4 linked regions of the Saccharomyces cerevisiae S288C genome follow. Changing the gene in region 1 together with any one later gene gives a genetic interaction. Each region holds a gene or a part of one and is shown in the gene's direction. Other genes may lie near its edges. The genes, in order: PHO87, NEO1, PMT6 and PHO89.

The links.
Region 2: of PHO87 (region 1) and NEO1, extra expression of one rescues a mutant of the other (dosage rescue), as found in Saccharomyces cerevisiae (one study listed by BioGRID).
Region 3: mutations in PHO87 (region 1) and PMT6 together harm fitness more than expected from each alone (negative genetic interaction), as found in Saccharomyces cerevisiae (2 studies listed by BioGRID).
Region 4: mutations in PHO87 (region 1) and PHO89 are lethal when combined (synthetic lethality), as found in Saccharomyces cerevisiae (2 studies listed by BioGRID, with this or other methods).

The regions. Positions count from the first base shown.
Region 1 is NC_001135.5:190,840-199,147, reverse strand, and holds PHO87 (SPX domain-containing inorganic phosphate transporter), read left to right. Parts: upstream 1-1,962; coding exon 1,963-4,734; downstream 4,735-8,308. Other genes in the region: Ras family guanine nucleotide exchange factor BUD5, read left to right, coding at 1-1,527; RBK1 (putative ribokinase), read right to left, coding at 4,850-5,851; exosome non-catalytic core subunit RRP43, read left to right, coding at 6,130-7,314; fatty acid elongase ELO2, read right to left, coding at 7,513-8,308. UniProt on the Saccharomyces cerevisiae protein: Involved in the uptake of inorganic phosphate.
Region 2 is NC_001141.2:257,542-266,397, forward strand, and holds NEO1 (aminophospholipid-translocating P4-type ATPase NEO1), read left to right. Parts: upstream 1-3,895; coding exon 3,896-7,351; downstream 7,352-8,856. Other genes in the region: isoleucine biosynthesis protein MMF1, read right to left, coding at 302-739; PCL7 (Pcl7p), read left to right, coding at 1,372-2,229; DFG10 (putative polyprenol reductase), read left to right, coding at 2,617-3,378; SYG1 (Syg1p), read right to left, coding at 7,574-8,856. UniProt on the Saccharomyces cerevisiae protein: Flippase that catalyzes the hydrolysis of ATP coupled to the transport of lysophosphatidylserine, phosphatidylethanolamine, and phosphatidylserine from the lumenal to the cytosolic leaflet of the Golgi apparatus membrane and ensures the maintenance of asymmetric distribution of phospholipids.
Region 3 is NC_001139.9:892,451-900,281, forward strand, and holds PMT6 (dolichyl-phosphate-mannose-protein mannosyltransferase PMT6), read left to right. Parts: upstream 1-5,051; coding exon 5,052-7,331; downstream 7,332-7,831. Other genes in the region: SNG1 (Sng1p), read right to left, coding at 47-1,690; YPP1 (Ypp1p), read left to right, coding at 2,243-4,696; Elongator subunit ELP2, read right to left, coding at 7,454-7,831. UniProt on the Saccharomyces cerevisiae protein: Protein O-mannosyltransferase involved in O-glycosylation which is essential for cell wall rigidity. Transfers mannose from Dol-P-mannose to Ser or Thr residues on proteins.
Region 4 is NC_001134.8:795,146-802,438, reverse strand, and holds PHO89 (Pho89p), read left to right. Parts: upstream 1-3,916; coding exon 3,917-5,641; downstream 5,642-7,293. Other genes in the region: transcription factor MAL33, read right to left, coding at 510-1,916; TYC1 (Tyc1p), read left to right, coding at 2,197-2,316; cation-transporting P-type ATPase PCA1, read right to left, coding at 5,940-7,293. UniProt on the Saccharomyces cerevisiae protein: Sodium-phosphate symporter. Active in early growth phase.

The DNA.
Region 1 (8,308 bases):
GCAAGAAAACGTCTACTCAGTGACTGGTATAGGCTCGGCGCTGATGCAAACATGGATGCCGTATTACTAGTTGTTAACTCCGCCTGGAGGTTTCTGGCCGTCTGGCGACCCTTCGTAAACTCAATCCAACATGCAACTCAGGAATTGTATCAAAATATCGCCCATTACCTTCTTCATGGCAACGTAAATATACAGAGGGTCACAGCACTAATACAGCTCGTAATGGGACAGGACGATTTACTTTTTAGTATGGATGATGTTCTACAAGAGGTCTTCAGAATACAGCTCTATTTGAATAAGATGCTGCCGCACAACTCTCACAAATGGCAAAAGCCATCCCCCTTTGACTCCGCAAACTTACTACTTAACTTCAGAGACTGGACAACTGACAATGCTCTCCTCCAAGAGTTGCTACTATCCTATCCCACAATTAATAAAAACAAACACAAAAATCACTCCGTCCCTCGTCTAATACAAATCTGGGTAGAGTCTTATTGGCAAGATAGTGAGACAACATTAAAAGATATCCTCAATTTTTGGTACAGTCACTTGGCTGAATATTATGAATACCAAGAACTGTTTGCAGACATAGTTCAGCTGTTTATAAACAAAAAAAGAACGAGGCAATTGAAGATTCATTACATTGGTCTAACTGATAAGGAAATCGAAGAAAATAAACCGCCCCTGGACTACGAAAACTTATTTCTCCAATACGAGATAGACAAAACGAACGCAAATGATGAATTGTGCGGTGCAACTGACCTCAGTGATTTACTTTTCCAATGGAAACAGGGTGAACTTCTAGAAGTCGAAGCCTTCGCTCTAAACGTATCTCCATGGTCACTTGCAAAGACATTGACTCTCTTAGAATCTTCTCTTTACTTGGATATTGAAACAATAGAATTCACAAGACATTTCAAACACAACGATACAACAATTGACTCCGTGTTTACGCTTTCCAACCAGTTATCGTCCTACGTTCTTGAGACAACTTTGCAGCAAACGCACACCATTTCCTACTGGTTACAAGTTGCACTGTCTTGTCTATACTTACGAAACTTAAACTCACTTGCTTCAATCATTACATCATTGCAAAATCATTCAATAGAAAGACTATCTCTCCCGATAGATGTTAAATCAGACCACCTTTTTCAGCGCCTAAAAGTCGTCGTACATCCAAACAACAACTACAACGTTTATAGAAGAACAATTAAACATATTTTCCACAGTCAGCTTCCTTGTGTACCTTTTACATCACTGCTTATCAGGGACATTACCTTCATAAGAGACGGAAACGATACATTCACTAAAGATGGTAATAACGTGAATATGCAAAAGTTCAACCAAATCACAAAGATAGTCGCTTTTGCGCAATATTTACAACAAAAGCAATATGAAGATATACACTGTTCAAATACTACTGCAAGAAGCTTATTAGGGGCTATGATAAAGGTGCACACTTTATATAACGACAACAAAGACAGGGCGTATCAAGTCAGTATAGCTAAGGTTCCAAGGCTTACCTAAAAACAGAACTGTTCAAAGAAAGATGACTTCCTTTTGCTTCTTGTACGCTCACAAATAATTAATATTCATGTTTAGTACTGAAAATTAAGAATACTTGCATAACTACAGTAGATAATATTTTTTGATAAGAAACCAGACGTAAATTAGATGTAATCTTTTACAGATATTACAGTCAACTTAATCAATTACCTAAAAAGGTTTAAGATTGTGCATAGGAAACGTTTCAATTACCGTATCTTTAGGCTACCGCCTCTTTCTTATTTTCCCTTACCCTTTTTTCAATCTAATTAATTGATGATTTCGCACGTGGGAAAAGTAATCCGATGCATTGAAAAATTATTACCAGAAAACAGTGTTTCACACCAAAAAAGCAGTCAGCTCTCAGATAAAGGTGCAGCAAAACTACGGTAAAGGCGGCTATTATTGTGCCTCGAAATGAGATTCTCACACTTTCTCAAATACAACGCTGTCCCTGAATGGCAGAATCATTACCTAGATTATAACGAATTGAAAAATTTGATCTACACATTACAGACAGATGAATTGAAACAAGAAACGCCAACCGGTGACTTAAACGATGACGCTGACTCTCAGACTCCAGGTCCAATCGCTGATATAGAAAGCAACATAGCTGCAGGAGAACCATCTTCATCGAAAAGAAGATTTACACATAAACTCAAGCGTAAGCTCTTTGGTTCTAAAACACCTTCAGGAAGCAAAAGGGGAGACTCCGACGAAAAGGCCATAGATGGGAACAATATTAACGAGGAAACAATTGAGTTAGACGAGTTATCTCCTCAAGGGAAAACCACCTCTTTCAATAAGAATTTTATACGTAAGAAATTCTTTGAATCACGCAGCTCATCTGTGAGTAGCGAGGGAAAGACGCTCTTCAGTTCTTATGATACATTCGTAACTAACCTGAGCGACGAGAAATTGAAAGTAGATGATTTCTACAAAAGAATGGAAGCTAAGTTCTATGAAAGATTTGACCACTTGATTAATGATTTGGAGAAGGAAGGCATTGTAACAAGATTGAATGAAACTTTCAATCCTGAAATTCAAGCATTGCCTCCTTTAAGAGAAATTATTTCTGGTACATCAGAGACACATTCATCTAATAACCCATTTGAAATACACTCTTCAAACATCGACAGTGAATTGAGAAATAGGTTTGATTACAGCGAAGAAGAAATGGATGAAGATGATGACGTTGACGTGTTTGCTGACACTACCGACAATACCGCCCTCTTGAATTATTCGCAATTTAACATTAAATCTCAGAAAAAGTCATTATTAAAACAGACAATAATAAATCTTTACATAGACCTTTGCCAGTTGAAATCTTTTATCGAATTGAACAGAATGGGTTTCAGTAAAATTACTAAGAAGTCTGATAAAGTATTGCACATGAACACTAGGCAAGAATTAATAGAAAGTGAAGAATTTTTCAAAGACACCTACATCTTCCAGCATGAAACTTTAAGCAGTTTAAACAGTAAAATTGCACAACTTATTGAATTTTATGCTGTTCTCATGGGTCAGCCTGGGAACGTAGATTCATGCAAGCAAGAGTTAAAGTCGTACCTGCACGACCACATTGTTTGGGAAAGAAGCAACACATGGAAAGACATGTTGGGCCTCTCTTCGCAAAATAACGATATAATAACTATTGAAGATGAAGCTGAGAAACTTATGCAAGAAAAGCTTCAAATTGAATATTTCAAGTATCCATTGCCTAAGCCAATTAATTTGAAGTTTACTAAAATTGAAAATTTGGCAGTTCCTAAGCTATTTTTTGGGAAAAGAGCAATGAAAATAGGCTTCATTATCATTGTCACAGGTGTTTTGTTGGGTGTTAAAACTTTCAATGACCCTGTCGAACACCGGTGTATGGCATTGGTAGAATGCTGTGCTTTCTTATGGGCTAGTGAAGCCATTCCATTACACATCACAGGTTTATTGGTTCCCCTTCTAACTGTCCTTTTTAGGGTACTAAAAGACGATGACGGTAAGGTAATGGGAGCAGCAGCTGCCTCTACAGAAATCTTAGGTACAATGTGGTCGTCAACAATTATGATTTTATTAGCAGGTTTCACATTGGGTGAAGCCTTGTCGCAATATAACGTTGCGAAAGTTTTGGCATCGTGGTTATTGGCCCTTGCAGGTACCAAGCCAAGAAATGTCCTTTTAATGGCAATGAGTGTTGTATTCTTTCTTTCGATGTGGATTTCCAACGTTGCCTCCCCAGTATTGACATATTCTCTATTAACACCCTTACTAGATCCGCTGGACTACACTTCACCGTTTGCTAAGGCATTAGTCATGGGTGTTGCACTTTCGGCAGATATTGGTGGTATGGCTTCACCTATTTCTTCGCCACAGAATATCATCTCCATGCAGTACTTAAAACCTTATGGAATCGGCTGGGGGCAATTTTTTGCTGTCGCTCTGCCTACAGGTATTCTATCGATGCTGTGCTCCTGGGCCTTGATGATACTCACCTTTAAAATAGGCAAAACTAAACTGGAAAAATTTAAACCAATAAGGACCAGATTTACTATAAAGCAATATTTTATCATCATTGTAACTATTGCTACTATTCTTCTATGGTGTGTAGAGTCACAAATAGAAAGTGCTTTTGGATCGTCCGGTGAAATTGCAGTAATACCGATAGTCCTGTTTTTTGGTACAGGTCTACTATCAACAAAGGATTTCAACACATTCCCTTGGTCAATTGTTGTTCTTGCTATGGGTGGTATAGCCCTTGGTAAGGCAGTTTCATCTTCAGGCTTGTTGGTAACTATTGCAAGAGCATTACAAAAGAAAATTCAGAACGATGGTGTTTTTGCTATCTTATGTATTTTCGGTATTTTAATGTTAGTTGTGGGCACTTTTGTCTCACATACTGTGTCAGCAATCATCATTATTCCCTTGGTGCAAGAAGTTGGTGACAAATTATCCGATCCAAAGGCAGCTCCAATTCTTGTGTTCGGTTGCGCCTTGTTAGCCTCATGCGGTATGGGGTTGGCTTCATCTGGATTTCCAAACGTTACTGCTATTTCTATGACCGATAAAAAGGGTAATAGATGGCTAACTGTAGGCGCTTTTATCTCCAGAGGTGTTCCTGCTTCGTTGTTAGCGTTTGTCTGCGTAATTACTCTCGGTTATGGTATTAGTTCTTCCGTCTTAAAAGGTAGCACTTAAACTGCCCTCATGTAATTACATTTCTTATTACTGCATTCTTTGTACCTTTTTAAACTTTATATATATGACGAAAACTAAAATTTAACAAACTAAAAGTAAAAAATTGCAGTAGATTTTATGCATCTTTCTGAACATCTTTATACAGTGGCATGCTTTCAGCAGCACCTTTTCTTTGAATGGTCAATGAACTAGCTAATGTAGAGAACTTTATAGCCGTAGACAAGGTCTCTCCTTGATACAATTGAGTAACCAAACCGCCCAGGAAAGTATCTCCAGCTCCTGTAGTATCAACAACCGAAACATTTTGAATAGCCGGAAGGAATTGTACTTCAGGGCTTTCGTGCGAACAGAAAAGCACCCCTCTCGAACCCAAAGTCATAACCACAATTCCTCTTTTCTTTCGATTCATGAGTTTTTCATACAAAAGCTCACAAATTTTACGATATTCTCCTAAAAAGTCGTCCTTTATCTTCTCCCTTATTTCTTCAACAAGTTCATTATCAAATACACTTTCCACGATTTGAAGACCCTCAATTTCATTAACGACCAAAAGGTCTACCAACTCCCAATCTTTCTTAGGCATGGCCTTGAAAGGTGAGGGGTTATATACGATCTGAAAATTCGGCCTGTTCGCATGTATCCATTTAATAATGGAAAGAGGATCAGGAATTTCGTGTTGAAAAACAACATACTCTTCTTCCTCCTTGCCCTCTGGAAAAATTTCACACAACTGTTTCGGGTCATAAATAGTCTTGCTGTTAGCACCTTCTACAATCAATATCCTATTTTGGCCACCAGCTTTCTCTTCAATTAGTATGGTAGCGGTACCCGTATTAATGCCTTCGTAAGTACCGACGTGAGTGATATCGACTCCGCAATCGGATAAAGTGTCCTTCAATTGTTTACCAAATGTATCATTTCCAACATTACCAATCATTCGAACACTATATCTGCTGCTGGGGTTTTTTAATTTACCAATGGCCGCAGCTTGGTTCAATCCCTTACCACCAGCATGTGTTTCGAAGTGGTTAGCCCTGAAAGTTTCTCCAGCGTTAGGTAATCTATCCGTAAATGTGTCCAAATCATAGTTTAGAGAACCTATTACTGTAATACCCATCTTTGAAATATGCTGTTGGAACTTTGGGATGAAAGACAACAAACATCTTATTGGCTATTTTTATCCTATTTGCTTCATGATTGTTCTGGCCACCTTCGGATATAAACCCTTTTATTCCCGTTTGATCTGGAGAGATTTTCAAATCACAGTCGACGAAAGTATAAGATTTTTCTTTCTTTTTTTATGACAGAGTATATAACAATAATGGACAAATTAGACGATGAGTATTGTTACACAAATAAGTTTGACAGTAGTTTCACAGGCATCTAATATTGGAAATGGCTGAAAGTACCACGTTAGAAACTATTGAGATACACCCAATTACTTTTCCACCTGAAGTTCTTGCGAGAATATCTCCAGAATTGTCTTTACAAAGACACTTATCCCTAGGAATCAGGCCATGTCTAAGAAAATATGAAGAATTTAGAGATGTTGCTATAGAAAATAATACTTTATCGCGTTATGCGGATGCTGGTAATATAGACACTAAAAACAACATTTTAGGCTCAAATGTTTTGAAAAGTGGGAAAACCATAGTCATAACTTCTATTACGGGTGGAATAATAGAAGAAACTAGCGCCGCGATTAAAGATTTGGATGATTTCGGTGAGGAAGAATTGTTCGAAGTGACCAAAGAGGAGGACATAATTGCAAATTATGCTTCTGTCTATCCGGTGGTGGAAGTTGAAAGAGGTAGAGTGGGCGCTTGCACCGATGAAGAAATGACTATATCACAAAAACTACACGATTCCATATTGCACTCTAGGATATTGCCTAAAAAAGCCTTGAAGGTAAAAGCTGGTGTTCGTAGTGCGAATGAAGACGGTACGTTTTCCGTCTTGTATCCCGATGAATTAGAAGATGATACGCTGAATGAAACAAACCTGAAAATGAAAAGAAAATGGTCATACGTTTTGTATGCGAAAATTGTAGTCTTGAGTCGCACTGGTCCAGTCTTCGATTTGTGTTGGAATTCTTTGATGTACGCTTTACAGAGCGTAAAGTTACCTAGAGCATTTATAGATGAGCGTGCGTCCGATTTAAGAATGACTATAAGAACAAGAGGAAGAAGTGCCACCATAAGAGAAACGTATGAAATTATTTGCGACCAAACTAAGTCAGTACCGTTAATGATAAACGCAAAGAATATTGCATTTGCTTCAAATTATGGGATAGTGGAGTTAGACCCCGAATGCCAATTACAAAACTCTGATAACTCTGAAGAAGAGGAAGTGGACATTGATATGGATAAATTGAACACTGTGCTAATAGCAGACCTAGATACTGAAGCGGAAGAAACAAGTATACACAGTACGATCTCCATCCTCGCTGCTCCTTCAGGTAACTATAAGCAATTAACATTAGTGGGAGGAGGCGCTAAAATAACGCCAGAAATGATAAAAAGATCATTGTTGTTATCTAGGGTTAGAGCGGACGATTTGTCAACAAGATTTAACATATAAAAGACTCGGATAAAATTATCTGATGACTGTCGAAAGGAAACGGAAAACTTTTTTCAACGATAACATGTGTATGTAATATATAACAAAACCATCCGGTCTTTTACAATATAATAATAGTGATAATAGTAACAATAGATCCACTAAGAAAAAACGAATATACGAAAGTTGAATACTTAAATTCTTTCAAAGATTTTACACTTACCTTTTTCTTCTGTGTTGAGGTTTTGGTGATGGAGATGGAGTAGGAACGTTTTTCAAGTCAACGTTAACATACTCATTAACCTTTGCGGCAACACCGCCGTGGGCACGCTTTACCACTCTACTGGTTTTGGTGCCTTTACGTTTATAAACGTTAATGTAAAATGAAATAAATAGTACCAAATATGAAGAAATAATGGCACAACCTGCAAAGGTGGCAGTTGTTGAACCCACACAGTCACCACAATGTGGCAAAATTGGGAAATACAAGTGAACTGCTTTTTGGTAGACAGCAAAATATATGAAACCGATATCCAAAACAAATTGGATAATTTGAAATCTGGTAACCCATTCCTTCCACCAGACCCTGATGCCTCTGGCAGCCAAGAAATAGTACCAATACATAACCACGTGAACACCAAGGTTCAATGAAATAGGGACCCAAGAAATAGATGTGGTGCCCATCAATTGGGTGTAACATAATAAGGCAGTAGCGCCATGGTGATAAGTATGCAAAAATGTCAATTTTTTATGTTTTAGCACCAAGAAAAAGGTGTCTATAAATTCAATAAACTTGACAATGTAATTCATGTAATATAATGTAACGAGCGGTTGAGTCCAAGCACCAATATTACAGATAGCGAAGTATAACCCGTGCTGAACAATAATTGGCACTAATTGTTCAACCATAAGCAATAAAAGCGTCAATGAAAGTGAAGTTAAAACCAAATTATGCAATTGGAAAAGGCCATTTAATTTAAATGGTTTCGACTTACTTAACAAAAACCTGCCACCA
Region 2 (8,856 bases), on another chromosome or scaffold:
CACCGCAAAGTTGTGACGAAAACACAGTCACAGTTTTTTAGAATTTATGATTAGAGTGTTCAAGAAAATAAGTTCCAACACGTAATAGGTTTCTACCCCTGTCTTGTAACATTGATACAAGTAGAGGGAAACTCCCCTCACATTTTCTACAACGGCAAGAAACTGATTCTGAAACTCCGTAAATTCGTTTCTTTTCTTAGTTAAAATCTTATATACGCTAAAGAATGCTACTAAAATGTTTATAAATGTACACTCCTCGGTATCGCAAGTGGAAAAAAGGCAGTAAAGAAGTTTCAATCCTTCAATTCTTTTCAACAGCGATAACTTCCATTTCTAAATCAACATTCAAAGGTAAGGAAGCAACACCAACACAGGATCTTGCAGGCTTATGGGTGTGGAAGTGTTTGGCGTATACAGAGTTGAATTCGGCAAAGTTTTTCATGTCAGCCAAGAATACGTTGACTTTGACTATATTGTCTAAAGAAGAATTACTTTCTGCTAAGATATTCTTAACGTTTTGAAAAACTTGTTCGGCCTTCTCAGAGATAGAACCTTGAACAGGCTTGTTATCTGGAGTATAAGGGATTTGACCAGACACGTACACAAAATTGTTGGCCTTCATAGCTTGGGAGTAAGAGGCGGCAGCGGGTGGGGCCAACTTGGTGCTGACCGGGGTCAATGTTGTTATACCCCTCCTCAAGACTGGAGCTGTTCTCAAAACGGAATTTCTTAAAAACATTATTGGTAATATATTTGTGTGTATGTGTTGTCCTTTTTACCTGTAAATCTCACACAATTTACTAGCTAACCTAATTCTTATGCATGTGTAAGACCCATTTAGTCATATGTATTTATATATATCAGGGGATCCATACGGTGTGTTTTTCGCTGGATGAGCGACAGAGGCGGAATCGCATCTCCGCAAATGAGAGCGTACACAGGAGCAAAGTGAATAACGTCCTTCAATGATAGAGACTTATCCAATAAGCAGCACTGGTCTTCTAAGATCACCGCCTGTGCACTTTTCTACGGGCTCTTTTAATTGTATAACATGGACAGTGATCATTGCATTTTGCATCCATAGGCATACTATGGCTTAAGGTATTACTATCTATCGCGCCTAATCTCTGGGAGTTTTGAGGCCGGTTTCGGAATCTCGGTATCTTGCGATGGGTCCAAAACGGTGTAAACAAAGCAGGGGATAGCAGCGCAGGCTTCAACATCTCAAACCTTTATATATACAAAAAGTATATCTATATATTCATCTACGGTTCTTAAAATAGTACAACAAAAGTTAACAGACATTAATTACTGTAATCAGACTAAAGCAAACCGAGCTAGAACGAACGACTGCTTACACTAGAGAAAAATATGGAGCTAAGTTCACCATCAAAAAAAACCACAACATCGCCAATAAATATACCAGGGGGGAATAGAGATAACCTAATAATCGGACCACATTCTCACAGCTTCAAGACCGATCCATTTTCAAGTAACAATAGTAGTTTGCTGTCCAAAATATCTACTAACCCCAGTTTGGAAAGCCCTTTCTCTTCGAAATCTTTACTAGATTGTTCTCCTGTACAAGCTGTAAAGAAGTCTTTAGAGTCGGAAGCAAAAACGCATAGCCTGGACGAGGAGACAAATGAACAGACTGATGTAAAGATCTTAAACATAGCAGACTTTCCCACAGATGAACTCATACTAATGATAAGTGCGCTACTCAACAGAATTATAACAGCAAACGATGAAACTACAGATGTCTCACAACAAGTGTCGGATGAGACCGAAGACGAACTCTTAACTCCAATCCTTGCTTTCTATGGAAAGAATGTTCCAGAGATAGCTGTTGTTCAGTACTTAGAGAGAATTCAAAAGTACTGTCCCACCACAAATGATATTTTTCTTTCTCTCCTTGTATATTTCGATAGAATCTCCAAAAATTATGGGCATTCTTCTGAGCGTAATGGTTGCGCAAAGCAATTATTCGTCATGGACTCCGGGAACATTCATAGATTGCTCATAACAGGTGTCACAATTTGCACGAAGTTCTTGAGTGATTTTTTTTACAGTAACTCTCGATACGCCAAGGTTGGAGGTATTTCTTTGCAAGAGTTAAACCATTTAGAATTACAATTCCTGATACTATGTGATTTCAAGTTATTGGTTTCAGTCGAAGAAATGCAGAAATATGCAAACTTGTTATATAAATTCTGGAACGACCAGTAGAATGCTGTCCTGCATATTATTCATGCCCTTCCCTTACCGTTACTCGTATTATACATATCAATTTCTGATTTACGTAACGCGTACATATCGGTTATATTTAAATAATTTAATATTCCTTTTAAATCAGTGGTTTTTCATATTAGTAGCATTTCTCCTGAAATGATAGCTATTGCAATAGAATGAAAAAAAAAACTTTTTGCCCAAATAAATCATAATCTACCGGTAAAGAGAAATTCGGTCCTTGTTCTATTCAGTATTATGCTTTCTCTTTTTTTTCCAAAATGAGAATTAAGGACGTTTCGAAAAAGTAAAAATATACCAAATGTGGAATATAAATAGGTTTATCGGCGGACCGATCTGGCTTAAAACGTAGAATCTACCAGTCCAATGTACTTTGATGAAGAACAATTGCTAAAATATACTATATATGCCTATAGATTATCCTTTTTTGTAGGCATTTGCTCACTTTTCATAGCAAAAAGTTGTCTACCAGAATTTCTTCAATATGGTAAAACCTACCGGCCCAAAGAGAATTCAAAGTACTCAAGCATTTTAGAACGAATCAAGAAGTTCACAGTTCCAAAGGCGTATTTTTCCCATTTTTACTATTTGGCTACCTTTCTATCCTTAGTCACCTTATATTTCTATCCTAAATTCCCCATCGTTTGGATCATATTTGGACACTCATTGCGCCGACTTTATGAAACGCTTTATGTACTACATTATACAAGCAATTCTAGGATGAATTGGTCCCATTATCTAGTCGGTATATGGTTCTATTCCGTACTCTTGTTAATTCTTAATATATCACTGTACAAGAACTCCATTCCAAATACGTTAAACATGAATGCTTTCATCATATTCTGCATAGCATCTTGGGATCAGTACAAAAATCATGTTATTCTGGCCAATCTGGTTAAATATTCGCTGCCAACAGGAAGGCTTTTCAGGTTGGTATGCTGTCCTCATTATCTCGATGAAATAATCATTTATTCTACTCTGTTGCCCTATGAACAAGAATTTTACCTAACACTAGTTTGGGTAATCACAAGTTTGACTATATCCGCATTGGAAACAAAAAATTATTACAGGCACAAATTTAAAGACAATCACGTAGCCCCCTACGCCATAATACCTTTTATAATCTAGTAATGTGCACACTAGGGCATTCATATACATATATATATAGACGCGGTAAAGAACCACTTTACTTTCACTATTATCACTTTACCACTAATTAGACAGCAAAGGCTCGTATACGTGTCATTAAAAACGAAGGTAAGGCCATACCTTTTTGAGGCAGTTGGAAAGAGTAAATACTGGCACAGTGGCTAAGACCTATCACTGCCAAACAAAAGGTTAGACATCTTGGGAATTTCGGACACATTCGTTACTTAAAACGAGGACCAAAATTACTCAATACCTATTTTTTATTTAATATTTTAGGCATTGTTTCACCTGAATTTGCTGCTATTAGAAGCCTGATCTACGCAATAAAAGATTTCATCTGGATTTTTGAAGCTTATACAGTACTCAACAATCAGCTTATTAACAGCAATATACCGTTAAGCAATTGAGAAAAAGTAACAATCAGAGCACTTGTGTGGCATAACGTTAATCTGAAAAAGAAAGGGGTATCAGTGTGCACGGAAAACTTCAGAGACAAATGCCTAACCCTCCTTCATTTAAGTCACATAAGCAGAATTTATTCAACTCCAACAATAATCAACACGCAAACAGTGTAGATTCTTTTGACTTACATCTCGACGATTCATTTGACGCTGCTTTAGACAGTTTACAAATTAATAATAACCCAGAACCACTTAGTAAGCATAACACTGTTGGAGATAGGGAAAGTTTTGAAATGAGAACAGTAGATGATTTAGACAATTTTTCTAACCATTCTTCGGATTCGCATCGTAAGTCTTCAAACACAGATACCCATCCTTTGATGTATGATAATCGCCTCTCGCAGGATGATAATTTCAAATTTACTAATATTGCTTCGTCACCACCGTCGTCTTCAAACAATATTTTTTCAAAAGCCCTCTCATATTTAAAAGTATCTAACACAAAAAACTGGTCCAAGTTTGGTTCACCCATAGAACTCAGTGATCAACACATCGAAAGAGAAATACATCCAGACACGACTCCTGTGTACGATAGGAATAGATACGTTTCGAATGAACTATCTAATGCCAAATATAATGCCGTTACTTTTGTGCCAACCCTATTATATGAACAGTTCAAATTCTTTTACAATTTATACTTTTTAGTAGTTGCATTATCGCAGGCCGTTCCTGCACTAAGAATAGGGTATTTATCATCGTATATTGTACCTTTAGCATTTGTGCTGACAGTAACCATGGCAAAGGAAGCTATAGATGATATTCAGAGAAGGAGACGTGATAGAGAGTCAAACAATGAACTGTATCATGTAATAACGAGAAATCGTTCCATACCAAGCAAAGACTTAAAAGTTGGAGATCTCATAAAAGTCCATAAAGGTGATCGTATTCCCGCTGATTTGGTTCTTTTACAATCAAGTGAACCATCAGGCGAGTCATTTATCAAAACTGACCAACTAGATGGGGAGACTGACTGGAAACTACGTGTTGCCTGTCCCTTGACCCAAAATCTATCTGAAAATGACTTAATTAACAGAATTAGTATAACAGCCTCTGCTCCTGAGAAATCTATTCATAAATTTTTAGGTAAAGTTACCTATAAGGATTCCACTTCAAACCCTTTGTCTGTAGATAATACTCTATGGGCGAATACTGTTCTAGCTTCCAGTGGATTTTGTATTGCTTGTGTCGTCTACACTGGCAGAGATACTAGGCAAGCTATGAATACAACTACAGCTAAGGTTAAAACTGGCTTATTAGAGCTAGAAATTAACAGTATTTCCAAGATTCTTTGTGCATGTGTTTTTGCCCTGTCAATTCTTTTAGTTGCATTTGCCGGTTTCCACAATGACGACTGGTACATTGACATTTTGAGGTATCTGATATTGTTTTCTACCATCATCCCTGTCTCTTTAAGAGTTAATTTAGATTTAGCCAAAAGTGTTTATGCACATCAGATCGAACACGATAAAACCATTCCTGAAACAATTGTTAGAACGAGTACAATTCCAGAGGATTTAGGCCGTATTGAATACCTTCTAAGCGACAAAACAGGGACGCTTACTCAGAATGATATGCAATTGAAGAAAATACACTTGGGTACTGTATCATACACGTCGGAAACATTAGACATTGTATCCGACTATGTACAATCTCTGGTGAGCTCTAAAAATGACTCTTTGAACAATTCTAAAGTTGCCTTATCAACAACAAGAAAGGATATGTCTTTTCGTGTACGTGATATGATTTTAACTCTAGCAATTTGCCATAACGTTACTCCCACTTTTGAGGATGACGAACTTACATATCAAGCGGCATCACCTGATGAAATTGCTATTGTTAAATTTACCGAGTCGGTTGGCTTATCTCTTTTCAAAAGAGATCGCCATTCAATTTCTTTATTACACGAACATTCTGGTAAGACTTTAAATTACGAAATTTTACAAGTATTCCCATTTAATTCTGATTCTAAGCGTATGGGTATCATTGTTCGTGATGAGCAATTGGATGAATATTGGTTTATGCAAAAAGGGGCCGATACTGTCATGTCAAAAATTGTGGAAAGCAATGATTGGCTAGAGGAAGAAACAGGTAATATGGCTCGTGAAGGTCTACGTACTTTGGTTATCGGTCGTAAAAAATTAAACAAGAAAATTTACGAGCAATTTCAAAAAGAATACAACGATGCCTCTTTGTCAATGCTAAATCGTGATCAACAGATGAGTCAAGTTATCACCAAGTATTTAGAGCATGATCTTGAATTATTGGGTCTAACTGGTGTAGAAGATAAGTTACAGAAGGATGTGAAGTCCTCTATCGAGTTATTAAGAAACGCAGGTATCAAGATTTGGATGCTGACAGGTGATAAAGTTGAAACTGCTCGTTGTGTTTCCATAAGTGCAAAATTAATATCTCGTGGCCAATATGTTCATACGATAACAAAAGTCACAAGACCGGAAGGTGCATTCAATCAGCTGGAGTATCTAAAAATCAATAGAAATGCTTGTCTTTTAATAGATGGTGAATCCCTGGGAATGTTTTTGAAACATTACGAACAGGAATTTTTTGATGTCGTGGTTCATTTACCCACTGTTATTGCTTGCCGTTGTACACCTCAACAGAAGGCAGACGTTGCTTTGGTAATTCGTAAAATGACGGGCAAAAGGGTATGCTGTATTGGTGATGGAGGTAACGATGTTAGTATGATTCAATGTGCAGATGTTGGCGTAGGGATTGTGGGTAAAGAAGGTAAACAAGCTTCTTTAGCTGCTGATTTTTCTATAACGCAATTTTGTCACCTCACCGAATTACTATTATGGCATGGTAGGAACTCTTACAAAAGATCTGCTAAATTGGCTCAATTTGTCATGCATAGAGGTTTAATCATTGCAATTTGCCAAGCGGTATATTCCATCTGTTCGTTGTTCGAACCTATTGCTCTTTATCAAGGTTGGTTAATGGTCGGTTATGCTACCTGCTATACAATGGCTCCAGTCTTTTCATTAACTCTTGATCACGATATCGAAGAGTCATTGACTAAAATATACCCAGAATTGTACAAAGAATTGACTGAAGGTAAGAGCTTATCATATAAGACGTTCTTTGTTTGGGTTCTATTATCGCTATTCCAAGGTTCTGTAATTCAATTATTTTCTCAGGCCTTTACGAGTTTATTAGATACTGATTTCACAAGGATGGTTGCTATCAGCTTCACTGCTTTGGTTGTAAATGAATTAATAATGGTTGCCTTAGAAATCTACACATGGAATAAAACAATGCTCGTCACTGAAATTGCTACTTTACTATTTTACATTGTATCGGTTCCATTTCTTGGCGATTATTTTGATTTAGGTTATATGACTACCGTAAATTACTATGCTGGACTTTTAGTTATATTACTCATCTCGATCTTTCCTGTCTGGACGGCAAAGGCAATTTATAGAAGGCTACATCCTCCAAGTTATGCAAAAGTGCAAGAGTTTGCCACTCCATAATTCAATTGGTTTGGATTTTTCTTGTTGCTTCAACGGATTATCTTAAAAAAATCTATCATATTTCAAAATATAAATTCTTATTTTTACAAAGAAGATATAGATTATGCATAATATTATTTTGTTACATTTTTTTTCTTTTACTTTTTATTTTCTTTTCTTTGTACTTCCTCAAATAAGCATCTTTAGCAGGTTAACAATAGCAAATATCATGTCCAGCCCAAATCACATAATACTTTCCACTTCACTTTCACTATCTGTTTCGGGAGACCTATCATCCACGGTATTGACAGTTGGTCTTTGGAAATCAGTTGCATGTGCCCAAGGAATGGATCTCGAAATGTTCTCAAACACGGAGGACCTTCTTCTGAAAGTCCCACGGTAAGCGGGCATAGGTTCGGCAAAACTGTGAGGATTATTGTCATGTGAAGGCGTGATAGGTATGTCGTTAAGTGATGAAAAGGCTTTTGAACCCAAATCACTACTATCCATAGAATCATCACCGACCTGCGCAATTGGATAAGGCAGAGGAGCGTCACCGGTAACCCTGAATAGGTGAACATTGGCAACATGTTCATTTTCGACTCTGAAGATGATCCAAACGAATCTTCTTAAAACCTCCAAAAGGGCCAATATAAACGACGTCACAGCACTCTGCTGAATTGTTTGAGGAGCAATTGCGTATACAATCCACTCAAATCTAATGAGGATATCCCAAATCATAGCAAAGTAATAAACTAACTTCCTACTGAATGAATAACTGCCGTTTTCCCAATTTTTTTTACCAGCTAAATACAAGTCGTCTCTTAGCAACCAATTGTAAGAAGTAGTATTGTGAGCAAAGGACCAATCCATAACTAAATCCCAGGCGGAAGTAAGGATCGAATTCAACGTAGCGCACACGATAAAAGGGGTTCTCCTTTGTTCAGAACGGTCTGACAATCTGTAAGCACAAAGTGTGGCATTATACGCTATACCCAAAGTGTATTTCGCCGCGTTCAAAAGATGAGGGAACCAATCACCGGAATCAGCAAATCTTCGTAAACATTGCATGAATCTCCAATAACTTGGTAAACATGATAAAACACCCATTGCTCTGGAATGTGAAGAGCCACATAGATTGTTGGGCGTATGAGAGTAAACACAGAAGAACATGGCAATATCGGCAATAGAATACGTCAACGAACAAATAATATCTCCCAAAAAGAAATCACCAAACTCAACAGGGAAAAAACCAGACATCATCAGTCTAATAAGAGTAACCACCAGCCATTTTCTAGTGTGTACAACTTTGTCCCAATATGGAATTAGACCAGAGGGACATAAAAATAAGAAAGACACAATACCAATATATAAAAAGCCTAAGGGTGTGAGCTTCTCCAAAGCGAAACTTAACATGGAACAGACCGCACAAGGTACTATGAAGAATGTCAAGAAATACAACTTGAGCGGAATTTTACTCGTGGCAAAATCATTGTTGAAAAATTGCGTACCATTCTTGGATTGAA
Region 3 (7,831 bases), on another chromosome or scaffold:
TTAATCGTATTAAGTGTATATATGAATAAGCTATTAACCCTACCCATTAATTTCCGGGCGGGTTGTTATTTTTATCAGTATTGGCCTCTGCCGGGCGGCTAGCACGCTGGGTAGCTGCTGCGACAGCGGCTTCTGCTGCTTGCATAGCATTTTTTTGCATTTTTTTACCTGCAAACTTCATACAAAATGGCATCAAGGATGTATTGAGGGCAACCCATGCCACGAGAATACCGTAATTTCTTCCCATTTTTCTTTTGGTTAAATTCAAAAAAATCACTTTATAGATATCCACGGCATTATGGATTGGCATTATGTAGCCGTACCTGTAAAATTCGTTGTTCAAAACCATTGGGTAGAATGAAGCAGAAATATTTAATATGATCCACGTCATCAACCAAATACTCAGGTATGGAGGGCAGTAAGCTATAACTAAGCTGAGAACGTTTTCATTGGCACCACCAACAGCCATCATTACCAACCACGTAGACATCCAATATACTACGAATCCTCCTCTGCCAAAGGCGGGGGTGAAATCGATCCTAAAAATTGCAGATACGGTACAGAATCCAATGGAAAGAAGAAAATAAGTTGCCCAGGAAATTAGAAGCCTGTAGATTAAAATATGCTTTGGCTTCAGAACTCTGGCCATTTCTCCGTGCAACTTACCATATAATGACAGTTGTAAAACGGTTAACAAAATACAATAAATCAGACCGACCTGCAGAGGGGCCATTAGAATACGATCAGCAAAGGGACGATAATCGTTGTAGGTGAACAACAACTGTCCTGCAATCGCCCAGTTCTCCATGTTTATATTAAGATCTCTGTCATTAGAAGTGATGTTGCTCATCAATGAGGGAAGATATTCCTTGACGTAATATTTCTGAAGGCGGACCTCCAATTGTTGCATGAGTGGTAGAATGGTCGATTTAACACTCGATGGGTCACGACCACTTTCAAACACGGATTCAAAAAAAATTGATGAATTGAACTCCGAGTTTGCGTCTTGGCTAATCAAAGAATTATACAAAGTGTCTGTAGCATTAGGTTTAACGTTTAACGCCAGCCAGTATCTCTCATCGTAAATTAAATCGACTATCTTTCTGTCAATTTCGGTGGAGTTCGTCGTACCAAATTTCCTATGAAATGATGTTGCGTTGTATATATGCCATGTCCCGGGGACAGACGCTAACAATGAGGGTATGATCGCGGAAATAGATTGAACTGAAGTATTAGATGGCGCATCCTGCAATACAACAATATTTTTCACTTTGAAAAAGTAACGATCTGTTCCGTAACAGGCACCCCAGTAAATCGATATGAGCGATACACACACACAAGCAATGAAGAAGTTGTTCAAAACAAACTTCGAGAGAATCTTTTTCCTATGATTTCGCAGTCTTGGAGAAAAAAGCCCTGTTTGAATTCTTGCCAAGGGACCGCCGTCGTTACCGCCCTTCTCTTCCTCATTAGCGCCACCTTCCCCCACAGATGACAATGAGGACGGCTTTTCATCAGGAGGCCGATAGTCTTCTAATGACTTTGCTAAGTCAGAAGAATGGCCGGAACCCTCAGCAAATCGCTGATTACTGTACGAAACCCCGTCCCTGCCGCCAGTAAATGCAGCTGCTGCTGCAAAACTAGGGTCCTCAATGTACTGTGACTCTTCATCACCAACCGATTTAGTCATATTTGTTCTCTGTACGGCTACTTACACTTATGTCAGTACCCGATTCTTACGGCGTATAAAAGATTAAAGAAACAGGATATGTGGCTTGATATATACAAAAAAAAAGAACGATATGGAGTACACTATGTATCTCTCAACAATGCTAAGATATGAAGACGCTTATTGACTACGCCAGTCCGTTTTCCATTCCCTTCTTCGAATAGGGTGGCCCGTTGATGACAAAGCTGCGAGTCATCTATCATCAAACAAACTCACGGCTTTCGCTTTTCTTTAGTCTATTTCGGATTGTACCACCTCCTCGGACATTCATAAAAGGATTCGAAAACGAATAACCACGCATATACACGGAAATAGGAGAAAACTAAACGGGAATCGGTTTATTTTTTTCTCAACATTTCTTTTTCCTGATTTTCCATCCTTTTCGAGATCCACCTATTGTGGTGAAAAATAACGAAAATATGTGCTTTAGGTGTGCAAGGCATAATGTGTGGCATACTGGAAGGAACAAGTTGAACACGCCAGCTGGAAAGAAGTTCAATACCAACTTGCCCAATGCCTAACTCAAATGTTCGGATTCCTCCTACTGTTCCATCGAAGATAATAGATGTGGTCGACCAAGCGCTAAGAGCGCGACTCTTAGGTGGCAGCACCTTCAATTCAGGGTTTGATAGTTTAGATTCCGTACTTAACTTACAGTTTAGACTACATTACCATGTTATTGGATCGAATGGGCCTGCAAAACCAGTTTGTGATGTTTTACTGAAGGAAAGTCAAAATTTAGAAAAGAATATGAGTATGATGGAGGAGTTGAATGACTATCCGGAGATTACAAAACTAGTGGAGAAAATTCTGTTCAATTGCCTCGGTATTCTTTTCTTCCACAGGGGCCAATTTCAGGAATCGCAGCGGTGCTTGCTGCACTCGTTGAAAATTCATAATAACACTGCATCGCAAAAAACAGCACTTATGGAGCAGTATGATAGGTATTTGATCGTAGAAAACCTGTACTACCGTGGTCTAGTTTCGCAAGACATAAATATCATGCAAAATGTTTTTTACAAAGAACTACTGGCCCACGTGGATACGATCCCTCCCGAATCAAACGGTCTTCTTTTCGAATACATCAGCTTGATCGTCGCAAAACTCAGGTTCAATCAAATTCAGGATTTAGCAGAAAATTTTAAAACTACCGTCGAAAATCCTTTTATTCTTTTCCTTTACATGATAAAGAAGTTCCAGTCACCTCTCAAAAAGCACATTGATAATGATGATCTTTATTTGAAGTTCGGACAGAACGTTTTGTTGAAGGCCAAATTTCCTACTGCTAGTGAGACAAATGATGAAGCTTTGGAGCATTTTAATGTCTTTTTGCAGTATTATTTCAAATTCACTCACATAAAAAAAATAAAAGTGAATCCCAGTTGGTATAATTTCATAATATCTTCAATGGAAAAGACTTTTCAAAGTATTGAAGTTTCGAAAACAGCAATGTTTCTTTTCCAAAACCTAAGCGATAACAGTAATGACGAAATAAAGAAGAAGACATTTAAAAGAGAATCTATACTAAATTTTGTTAATTTTGTGAAATACAACGACAAGTACTATCAACTGCACGATAACTCCCACCGTGACATAATTTCATTCATTGATGCGTATTCTTTTATTTTACAAAACTCCTCCAAAACCGATTCAATCGAAAATGTTTTTGATTACGATAATACGGTATCTACGTTTGCGACTTCCTTGAATTCCTTCTACAAAGAATATAATTTGCCATTAATGAGCCAATCAGAATCTTTAGATTGGCTAGAAAACAGCACCAGATGTGTATACCCAGGAAACATTTCGAAAGTTCTAACAAATGCGTGGTCAACATTGTACGAAATCAGAAAATATCAGTTAGATTTTCTTGTATCTAATAATTTGACTTCATATCTATGTAATGCAATGATGCTGTCCACAAAAGAAAAAGACAATGCTGATGTAGAAGAGCAGGAAGAAGGAGAGGAGGAGAAGGCATTACGTGAATTACAATTTAAATATTCTTACACTCTAGCACAACAGAGGCACATTGAAACTGCAATCAAGACTCTAGAATCATTGATATTAAGTAAAAACCCAAATTACTACAAAGCTTGGCATCTATTAGCTCTTTGTAGGTCTGTGCAAGAGGATAAGGAAATGTCGTACAAGATAGTTTGCTCTGTTCTAGAAGCTATGAATGAAAGTCTTCAGAACAATACTTTACTTCTGAATGATAGATGGCAATTTATTCACCTAAAATTAACGCAATTGGCGCTAATTGAAGAAATTTTTGGCACTTTAGAGGCACTGGAGACACTTCCAGAGGTCTTTGAATTATACGCAACATTATTTCCAGATTCACAACCTGAATTGAACAGCATGGGTCCCAAATATTCTCAAACTAAAGAATATCTTTTACAAATGGTGTGGATTTTTGCTGCAAATATGTACATGAGAACAAAAGACAATGATGAGGATGCCAAGGCCGCCATCAAAGAAGCCTCCAATGTCGAAAGTAAATTCAAGAATTTAAATTGTAATATTGCTAACGGTTATTTATCAATAATAAAAGATGAACCAGGCGTGGCATTAAAGGAATTTGAAACAGTTCTGTACTATGATGAGAATAATTTAGATGCCTTGGTCGGATTCGCTGAATTAATTTTCCCTGAAGAACTAGGCGTCGAGGAAACTAATCTTGAGCGTTATTATACTCTCAGCCTTGATAAAAAACCAGGTAAGAGGGCCAAACTTACGTTCGTTAATGACACAGATAGGTCAGCAGCGTATGCAAGACTAAAATTTCTATTGGAGTGCGCAATACTAGAATCGATCGAGGCTTACTATTCCCCAGAAGTTTGGTGGTATTTGTCCCTCATTTACGAGAAATATCAAGATGACGAGTACAAAAACTCTTTGCTAAAATGTATTAAATACCAAGAGTTGAATCCCATTCGCTCCCTAAGGTATTGCAATTACTAACGATAATTCTTCTGATATATACACACACATATATACATATGGGCGCAAGTATATTCTGGTGTAAAGATACTCATAGAAAGCATAAAGATGTAATTCAATCTAGTTGTATTATATTATTCATTGATTTATATTAATTTGATGAACAATGGAACATCTTCTCTTCAATAACGGTTTTGCCCATATACTTGACGTTATTAGGTTACCCGTTTTTATAAATGTAATAAGTTCAATAATTTGAAAAGAGCATTAGCTATAGTCACGTTTCGCGTTGAAACAATTCTTTAAATTATCTTCTCTTGGCAGTTTAATATACCAAACGATAGTCCTAACATACTGTTTTTCTTATTATTTACCAATGAGTAAAGCCAAGGGAACGGGATTTTCATCAATTGATACTGAAGATGAAAACTTACGCGAACGTTATGTTAATCAACCAAAAGCTAATGCCTCCGATATTCAAGATGAACAATTAGATTGCTTTGAGCAACTAGAAGAAAAACATAGGACAAAAAAAAATGAAGAATACACTGCGTTGAAAATTTTAAGGGATGTCATAGGTCCCCTTTTATTAACTATAACTTCGTTTTATCTAAGATTCCAACATATAGATCAGAACAATTATGTTGTCTGGGATGAGGCTCATTTTGGGAAATTCGGATCATACTACATCAAACATGAGTACTACCACGATGTCCACCCTCCACTTGGTAAAATGCTTATTGCATTGAGCGAATGGATGGCAGGATTTGACGGTCAATTTGACTTTTCCTCTAATAATGCATATCCGGAAAACGTAAACTTTAAACTAATGAGACAATTTAATGCCACATTTGGAGCTCTATGTACACCAGTAGCTTTCTTTACAGCCAAATGGATGGGGTTCAATTATTTTACTGTTTATTTGATTGCTACGATGGTAACGTTGGAACATTCATATATTGTCCTCTCAAAATTCATATTGCTAGATTCAATGCTGCTTTTTTTCTCGATGACGACTTTTGCCTGTATGATAAAGTTGTATACGTTGAGAAAGCAACAAATGACGAAAAAATGGTCGTTATGGATGTTATTAACTGGTTTATCTATTGGTTGCGTTTGTTCTGTGAAATGGGTTGGTCTTTTTATCACAGTTGTAGTCGGCCTCTACACATGTATAGAACTATTTTTGCTCTATTGTGATAAAGAATTGCCTAGAATAAAATATTACAAACATTGGCTTATCAGAATCATTAATCTGATAGTAATTCCTTTTCTTATCTATCTCTATTGCTTCAAAATTCACTTTGTGTTGTTGTACAAATCTGGCACGGGGGATTCTACTACAAATACGTTATTTCAGATAAACTTGGAGGGAACTCAGATTGAGGCGGGTCCTCGTGATGTAGCATTTGGGTCAGAGTTAACCATAAGGTCGCATGGTTTAAGCCCGAATCTGCTGCATTCACATATTCAAGTATACCCAGAAGGCTCTGGACAGCGCCAAATCACTGGATATGGATTCGCAGACTCTAATAATGTTTGGAAGTTTGAATTTTCTAGGTCTTCTGGATTGGAACTAGATCAGAACGGGACTTTGAATGGCAAAATAATCCCAATAACGGATGGTGTGGAAGTTCGTCTCAGCCATAAAAATACAGGATCGAATCTTCACTCGCATGATGTACCTTCTCACGTCTCTAGAGGAAATTATGAGGTTTCAGGCTATGGGTCACAAAGTGTTGGCGATGAAAAGGATGATTGGATAGTGGAGATTGTGAAACAAATGGATTCACCAAATCCCGTCTATTCTAATGAGAATTCAACTATTTTACATCCAGTTTCTACTTTCTTCAGGTTGAGACACAAAGTTTTAGGTTGTTACTTGGCTTCTACTGGATTGACGTATCCAGCTTGGGGATTTAAACAAGCTGAAATCGTCTGCAAAGACTCCTGGAGTCGTAGGGACAAATCGACCTGGTGGAATGTAGAAGATCACTGGAACCACAATTTAGAAACCGCAGAAGATTACGTTCCACCAAAATCCAATTTTTGGACCGATTTTATTCTAACTAATTTTGCCATGGCCTCCTCTAATAACGCGTTAGTGCCTGATGAGGATAAATATGATAGTTTATCGTCTGATGCATGGGAATGGCCAACCTTGCATAAAGGGCTAAGAATGTGTTCATGGGCGGGATATATCACTCGATATTACTTGATGGGATCTCCCTTCAATACATGGATTTCTACTGTCTCCTTAATCATCTTCCCATTTATTATTCTTTTTATATTATATCGTTGGAGGAGACAAACGCTTTATCTCTCAGACGATCAAATCTGGCAAATAACGATACAGGGTATTTTTCCTTTCATTTCCTGGATGACACATTATCTGCCTTTTGCAATGATGGGGAGAGTGACGTATGTACATCACTACGTTCCCGCTTTATATTTTGCAATGCTTGTTTTCGGATTTGTGCTTGATTTCACTTTGACAAGAGTCCATTGGATGGTCAAATATCCCATCTATTTGTCATTGTTTGGCGGATGTATATACATTTATAATTTATTTGCTCCAATATGTCAGGGTATGCATGGTGATAAAGCGGAATACTTACCTTTGCAGTGGTTATCTACTTGGGATATCGCACCTTAGTAAAAAAAAAAAAAACTCCAACTCCTTTACACAGAATCACGAAAATTGTAAATAATAATGCCAAATAAAGGCATTAACTTATTATCCTCTTCTTTTCACATGAGAAATGATATAGATATTGCCTATTCATATGCTAATGAGTATATACGGGTGGACAAATCACTACTTCCTACACCTAAAAATAATTTACCGTTTCTCTTTAAATGTGACCACCTCAATCTTGTAATTTTGTCTGCTGGTGTTATATCCTCGTTTAGCTGCGTTATTAACTCAAACTTTCCCAAAGTATAACTGTATAAATAAATCTCACCGTTTTCAAGACCCACCGATATCAAAATTTTCTCTCTTATCATGCTGTCATGTATGGAAATAGCAGTGACAGCTTTAGTGTGTTTAATTGATGCTTCCAGAACGTAGTCATCAGCTGGCTCCTTTTGGTGCCTCCATACTTTGACAGTTTTATCCCTGGACGCGGTGACAAAAACATTACCAAACTCTAA
Region 4 (7,293 bases), on another chromosome or scaffold:
AGGGTCCTAGATTTAAATATCTTGCAAAAAGAAGTACTAATATACAATTTTTTCATTCCCGTTAATGAAAATGCTTGAATTTTTATATTGTATATTGATACACTCTATTCATGTTCCGGCAACAATTATTTTTTTTTTAATTCTGTAAATTTACTTTTTGACGTATTCTTTCAGCATTTCTGTGCTTATGTTAGAATTCAAGAGAGTATTCCCTATTCCTGGTAACGTAAATTCGCTTTGTAAATCAACGATACATGATTCTCATATCCCAACAAAAATGCCACAAAATTTATATTAGTAAGCTGCCCGCTTAAGTATATACTTAATGTAACTGTATATAGAATTATCATGACCATCAGAACTAAATATTACAAACAAGTAAGGCAGGAGTAGAATAATCTCGCCTGAAGAACATAGCTTCTTACACCCTCGAAAAGCAAGACTTAAGAATATCACTCACACTCTATCAGTATATCTATCTCGTATAAGTGAACGGCGTGAACAATAAATTAAGGAATTATGTCGTCTTCATCTTTGGAATCATCATTTAGGCGCAGTGGTCTAGAGATAGGCAAATCGATTAGAGCACTCTGACATTTAGTTGAAAACCTTTGAAACATTTTATGATTGCAATGTTTCAGGGAGAAAACGAACTTGGATACATCGCACAAAATATTCCAAGCCTCCAACTTCATATTGTGATCATACTTATTTACGATATCTACCAATGCATTGGCTACTTCCAATGATTTCATTGGTATTCCAGGACCATGTACATCATACAGGTTGTTTGGAGTTAAGAATATGTCGTCCAGCATATCCTTTGCAATTTCGACCAATATGTGAGCATTATTGGCGTTTGAGAAAAACTTGGTACCATTCATCTGAAACACTAGCTTCCAAGCCAGCGCCCTAATCCAATGTCGAGAAAATGAAATGTCCACATAGCCATAAGACCATGGTTCTATTTCAAGGGATGCTGTGTGAAGCTCTTTCCATATTTTTTTCAGTGAGTCTTCAGTGCAAGAACCGCTAGTAGACTCCGTAGCCAAAGCATCAAAAAAGCATTTACCTGGTACAGTAAATACTCTAATCATCTCAAAAAAGCTATCCAAAGAAAGTCGAGGGTCCGTTACGAACTCTGGCTGAGGTGGAGCTATTGTGGTATCCAAACTTGTAACACAATGAACATATACGGAATAGTATCTTTCCGTCAAGAGAAGCAAATAATACACCTTGCGTAAAAGCTGTTGCTCACGAAATGATAGTGATTCGTATGCTTTTTCACGATGTAACCCTGCTACAATAACAAGGCCAATAGCTTCACGACAAAGTCTGTATGAATTTCTTACATCAGAAGACTGTGAAAAACAACGTAGCAAGCAATAATATGTCATAATTCGGAAAATGTCTCTGCCGCTAAGGTCATCAAATTGTTGGCGTGAGGACATACAGAGAACGGCTAATTGTTTTCCAGTAAACGAAAATCCCCCCTCAGATTCTAATTCGCTTTGTAGATCGCTAAGATTGGCTGCTGAAAGAGCTACGAGAAACCAATAAACGTAATGGTCATTGTATTCTTCGTCCAAAAGCTTGTGAAGGTCATCATAAGAGAGTAAAGGCCAGATAACATATAGATTGTCGTGATAAAGCCTCAAACACTGATCAATCACCTTTTTAGGAACCTTCATTAATATTTCTGCCGCTGCCGTACAACTTTTATTATCTATAAACATTTTGGCCTTTGGTATATACTTTAAGCTTCTAGTTCCAATAGGCTTTGAGCCTCTTTTTTTTAATGGTTGCTGATATGTGCAATCGAAATTGTGCTCAATACAGCGACTACATGGTTTTTTACCATCACACTTTACTCGACGGACACGACAATAGTCGCATGCATACTTGACTAAAGTCATATTTAGAACATAAATATCTTCAAGATGCTCTCGTTCGATGTTTGATATTCAATATTTACACTCTAGTGTTTTCCCGAGAAAGAAACCTTCTGAAATGATTTTTTGTTCCTTTTTAATCTATTGAAAAATGGCGGTACGGACAATAAAATCCGGGGGCGGGGTAAATTGCGCATGGCCGTGGAATGTCACTGCAAAGTGAACGAGAAGATTAGAACACGGAATAAGGAAAACTTCTGGGGAATTTATTTTTCAAGATTTGGTTCCAGGTTTTTCCCCAGAAATGAAAGTGCTAGATGATTGGTTTTCAAGGAAGTTCTCAAAAGCTGTACACGGAAACAATCACGGCACCATTTCCTTGTCAACTCTGTCTTATATCAGAGTCCATAAACTAGTAAAATGACTTCGTAGAATCGAACAATATCTCACCATAAAATTTTTTTCACAAACAAAAAAGACGCTCTATTATACAAAAAGCTGCTGCGGCCCTTCTTAATGACTAAATCTTGACAACTGAGCTCTTTCACACCTGTGCAAAATCCAATGGGAGCAATAAATGTAACATATTTTTTTAACATACCACGGTAGGGCAATGAATATAAATAGATATTGGACCGTATCCTTTTCTGATCATCTTGAAAACATTGTCTTGCCTCTCAACAGCTTTATCTATTCTTCACCTCTCTTCGTTTGACTATTTCAGCATGTATTTTTTCACACAATTTTTCTTCCAACTATTTTCCAATATTACTACGAGAATTCCGACCACGGAAAAAAACTTGCGCTGTTCCAATCAGTCCCATTCTATCCATCTACCTGCCAGTGGTTTCGTAATATCGACTCACACCAGTAACGACATAACTGTTTTTTCGTTCATGATTTAATAGCGAGCCCACCTTTAACGCATATCTGCTTCACCGCTGAAATAATATTTTACGAGCACGCTAACACAATGCTTGTGTTTTCTGTTGAAATCACAATACCGTTACTTGGAGTGACCATTTATGGTTTGTTGAATTCACAGTACTCTCGTCAGCTTTGTCACGTATTCAACTGTAACCTCTTTGAATCTCAACACTACGTTGTCTTCGCGTGTACTAAATGTATCGATTATATAATAGTATTTAAAAATCATTTAAAATTGCACCATGTACTGTATAATGATTTTCTCAAGACGATATTTCGAGTTTTGCCGATGGGTCTTATAATCTCTTTTGATAGAGATACCTACTTTTAACAATATCAAAATTACTGATATAGGTTAATTTTTGTTCACGAGTAAGTACTTCAGTGACACTCGTCAGTAAAGAACATTAGCGGAATCGTTATAATTTCATTCCTTACATCCGTTTAATTTCATTAATTCGATGCATCTTTCTTTGGCGAAGCCAGAAAATCTAGTTTCAGAAATCTCGGTTTCACCCGCAAAAAAGTTTAAATTTCACAGATCGCGCCACACCGATCACAAAACGGCTTCACCACAAGGGTGTGTGGCTGTGCGATAGACCTTTTTTTTCTTTTTCTGCTTTTTCGTCATCCCCACGTTGTGCCATTAATTTGTTAGTGGGCCCTTAAATGTCGAAATATTGCTAAAAATTGGCCCGAGTCATTGAAAGGCTTTAAGAATATACCGTACAAAGGAGTTTATGTAATCTTAATAAATTGCATATGACAATGCAGCACGTGGGAGACAAATAGTAATAATACTAATCTATCAATACTAGATGTCACAGCCACTTTGGATCCTTCTATTATGTAAATCATTAGATTAACTCAGTCAATAGCAGATTTTTTTTACAATGTCTACTGGGTGGACATCTCCAAACAATTCATGTCACTAAGCCCGGTTTTCGATATGAAGAAAATTATATATAAACCTGCTGAAGATGATCTTTACATTGAGGTTATTTTACATGAATTGTCATAGAATGAGTGACATAGATCAAAGGTGAGAATACTGGAGCGTATCTAATCGAATCAATATAAACAAAGATTAAGCAAAAATGGCTTTACATCAATTTGACTATATTTTTGCCATTGCCATGTTATTTGCATTTTTGGATGCCTTTAACATCGGGGCAAACGACGTGGCGAACTCATTCGCGTCGTCGATCTCTTCTAGATCTCTAAAATACTGGCAAGCCATGGTTTTGGCGGGTCTCTGTGAGTTCTTGGGTGCTGTCTTGGCAGGCGCAAGAGTTTCTGGTACTATCAAGAACAACATTATAGATTCCTCCATTTTTACCAACGACCCCGCTGTTTTAATGCTTACTATGACCAGTGCTTTGATTGGCTCGTCTTGTTGGTTAACATTTGCTACTGCAATCGGAATGCCAGTTTCTACTACACATTCCATTGTTGGTGGTACAATTGGCGCTGGGATTGCAGCCGGTGGAGCTAACGGTGTCGTTTGGGGTTGGAGTGGTGTTTCTCAAATTATTGCGTCATGGTTCATTGCTCCGATTTTGGCAGGCGCGATCGCAGCTATAGTTTTTTCAATTTCTAGGTTTTCTGTCCTTGAAGTTAAGTCTTTGGAAAGATCGATTAAGAATGCTTTACTGCTGGTTGGTGTTTTAGTATTCGCCACTTTCTCTATCTTAACAATGTTGATTGTCTGGAAGGGTTCTCCAAACCTACACTTGGACGATTTATCTGAAACTGAAACTGCCGTATCTATTGTTCTCACAGGTGCAATTGCTTCGATCGTTTACTTCATCTTTTTCTACCCATTCTACAGAAGAAAAGTTTTGGACCAAGATTGGACACTAAAGTTGATTGATATTTTCAGAGGTCCATCTTTTTACTTTAAGTCCACTGATGATATCCCACCAATGCCAGAAGGCCATCAATTAACAATCGATTATTACGAGGGCAGAAGAAATCTTGGAACAACTGTTTCTGTTGAAGACGAAGAAAATAAGGCAGCGAGTAATTCTAATGATTCCGTCAAAAACAAAGAAGACATCCAGGAAGTGGACCTGGTTAGAACTGAAACTGAACCAGAAACAAAGTTGTCAACGAAACAATATTGGTGGTCATTATTAAAGCAAGGACCTAAAAAATGGCCCTTATTGTTCTGGTTAGTAATCTCTCATGGTTGGACTCAAGACGTCATTCATGCTCAAGTTAATGATAGAGATATGTTATCTGGTGACCTGAAAGGAATGTACGAAAGATCTAAATTTTACGACAATAGAGTAGAATATATCTATTCGGTTCTCCAAGCCATTACTGCAGCCACTATGTCTTTTGCTCATGGAGCTAATGACGTTGCCAACGCTACTGGTCCTTTGTCTGCTGTGTATGTGATCTGGAAAACTAACACTATTGGGGCAAAGTCCGAAGTTCCCGTGTGGGTTCTGGCTTATGGTGGTGTTGCCTTAGTTATTGGTTGCTGGACTTATGGTTACAATATTATCAAAAATCTAGGTAATAAGATGATTTTGCAGTCGCCATCAAGAGGCTTTTCAATTGAACTAGCTGTTGCTATTACTACTGTCATGGCTACCCAATTAGGTATTCCTACCTCAACAACCCAGATCGCCGTTGGTGGTATTGTCGCTGTTGGTTTATGTAACAAGGATCTCAAATCAGTTAATTGGAGAATGGTAGCCTGGTGTTATTCTGGTTGGTTTTTAACTTTACCAATTGCTGGTTTGATTGCCGGTATCATAAATGGTATCATTTTGAATGCTCCTCGCTTTGGTGTGGAATACCAAATGACATAATCATAATGTGTTTCGGTTATGAATACAGTTTTACAACATTAGGTAGAACTTTTATTGCTCAGTGACTTTAAAGTTAAAACATTTCTAATTTAAAACCTTAAAGATGCATTAATTTTTTTCTAATTTATCAGTTGATCTGCAATTACCTGGCATGGCTATGTGTATTTTTTTTTTTTATGAATTCCATCATATTAAATAGAAAACTAAACTAAATAATAAATAGAGTATTACAGAGTCGTCAAAAAAAAAAAAGAAAAGAAAAAAGAAAATCTACAATCAAATAGCAGCAGTACCTGGACTAAATCTTTGCATAACGCAGAAGTATAGCTACAAAAATTACAGGGAGGATACTAACTAGTTCCCCTAAACCCGCATACTCTGGTGGAATATGAAAGTCAACAAAGGCACCAGCCGCCAAAAGGATAGCAAATAAGTTGTAAGTAAAACTCCATAAGAAATTCAATTTGACCCTAAACATGGCCTTTTGACTTACAGTTATCATAGTCAAAATATTGTTGAGCTTTGGCTTTAACATAACTACATCAGCAGCTAGCTTGGCAACCTCACTTCCCTCATTGATATGAACTCCAATCGTTGCTTGAGTCAAACCAATTGCGTCGTTTGTTCCGTCACCGCAAAAAACAACAACCGGTCTTTTTGACTGCGAAGAACTATCGCAATTTCTTCCTTCGACAATATCCTTAATATATTCACTCTTTTCTGCAGGCGTTGCGTGAGAACGAATATTGGAGCTTTCAATTCCAAGACGGGCTGCCATAGAACGAACGGCTCCATCGTCATCCCCTGATAAAATGTGTAGTGAAATCCCTCTTTGGCGTAACAAGTTAATAGTGGAGACAGCATCTGCCCGTAAAGAGTCCTCTAATGCATAAACTGCAGTGACTGAACCATTAACACTAAAACAGAATACAGAATATCCTTGTTCAAGGGCTTTTCGAACGTCAGGATCATTGTTATGACCAAGCCAACGACAGTTCCCTCCTTGTAACTTCAAACCAGAGTATGATGTTCCTTCTACCCGCTTACCAGTCACAGCTTTTGTATTAGAAACATTTTGAGCAGAAACACCTTTTTCTTTGAGATAGGATGCTATTGCCATGGAAACTGGGTGTTTTATTCCTTCAGTTAATCCAAGCAACAAAGATTGAGAATTATGACGATCACCCCTAACAGTTTCATGTACTACAGTAAGTTTTCCTTCAGTTAGGGTACCCGTTTTATCGAAGACAACATGCGAAGTGTTGTGAGCAACTTCTATACTCTCTGCTGATTTGAAGATTACCCCTCTTTTCGCAGCGACGCCACTTGCAATAACAAATACGATAGGAACGGCAAGTCCAATCACGCAGGGACACGAAACGATAAGTACCGTAATGGCATATATAATGGCCTGAATTACGGCATCGGAGCGGGATTGCTTTTCCACACGGATTCCAACCGCTATCCAAACGCAAAAGGTGACGACAGTGATTCCAATGATAGTTGGCACGAAATAACTTGCAATTTTATCAGCGATATTTTGGATCTTTGGCTTAGTTAATTTTGCTTCATCAACCATCGTGGCTATGGTACTAATAGTATTGTTCCCTGGAAGCTTGCTCAGCTTCACAAACAAAGTACCAGTGCCATTC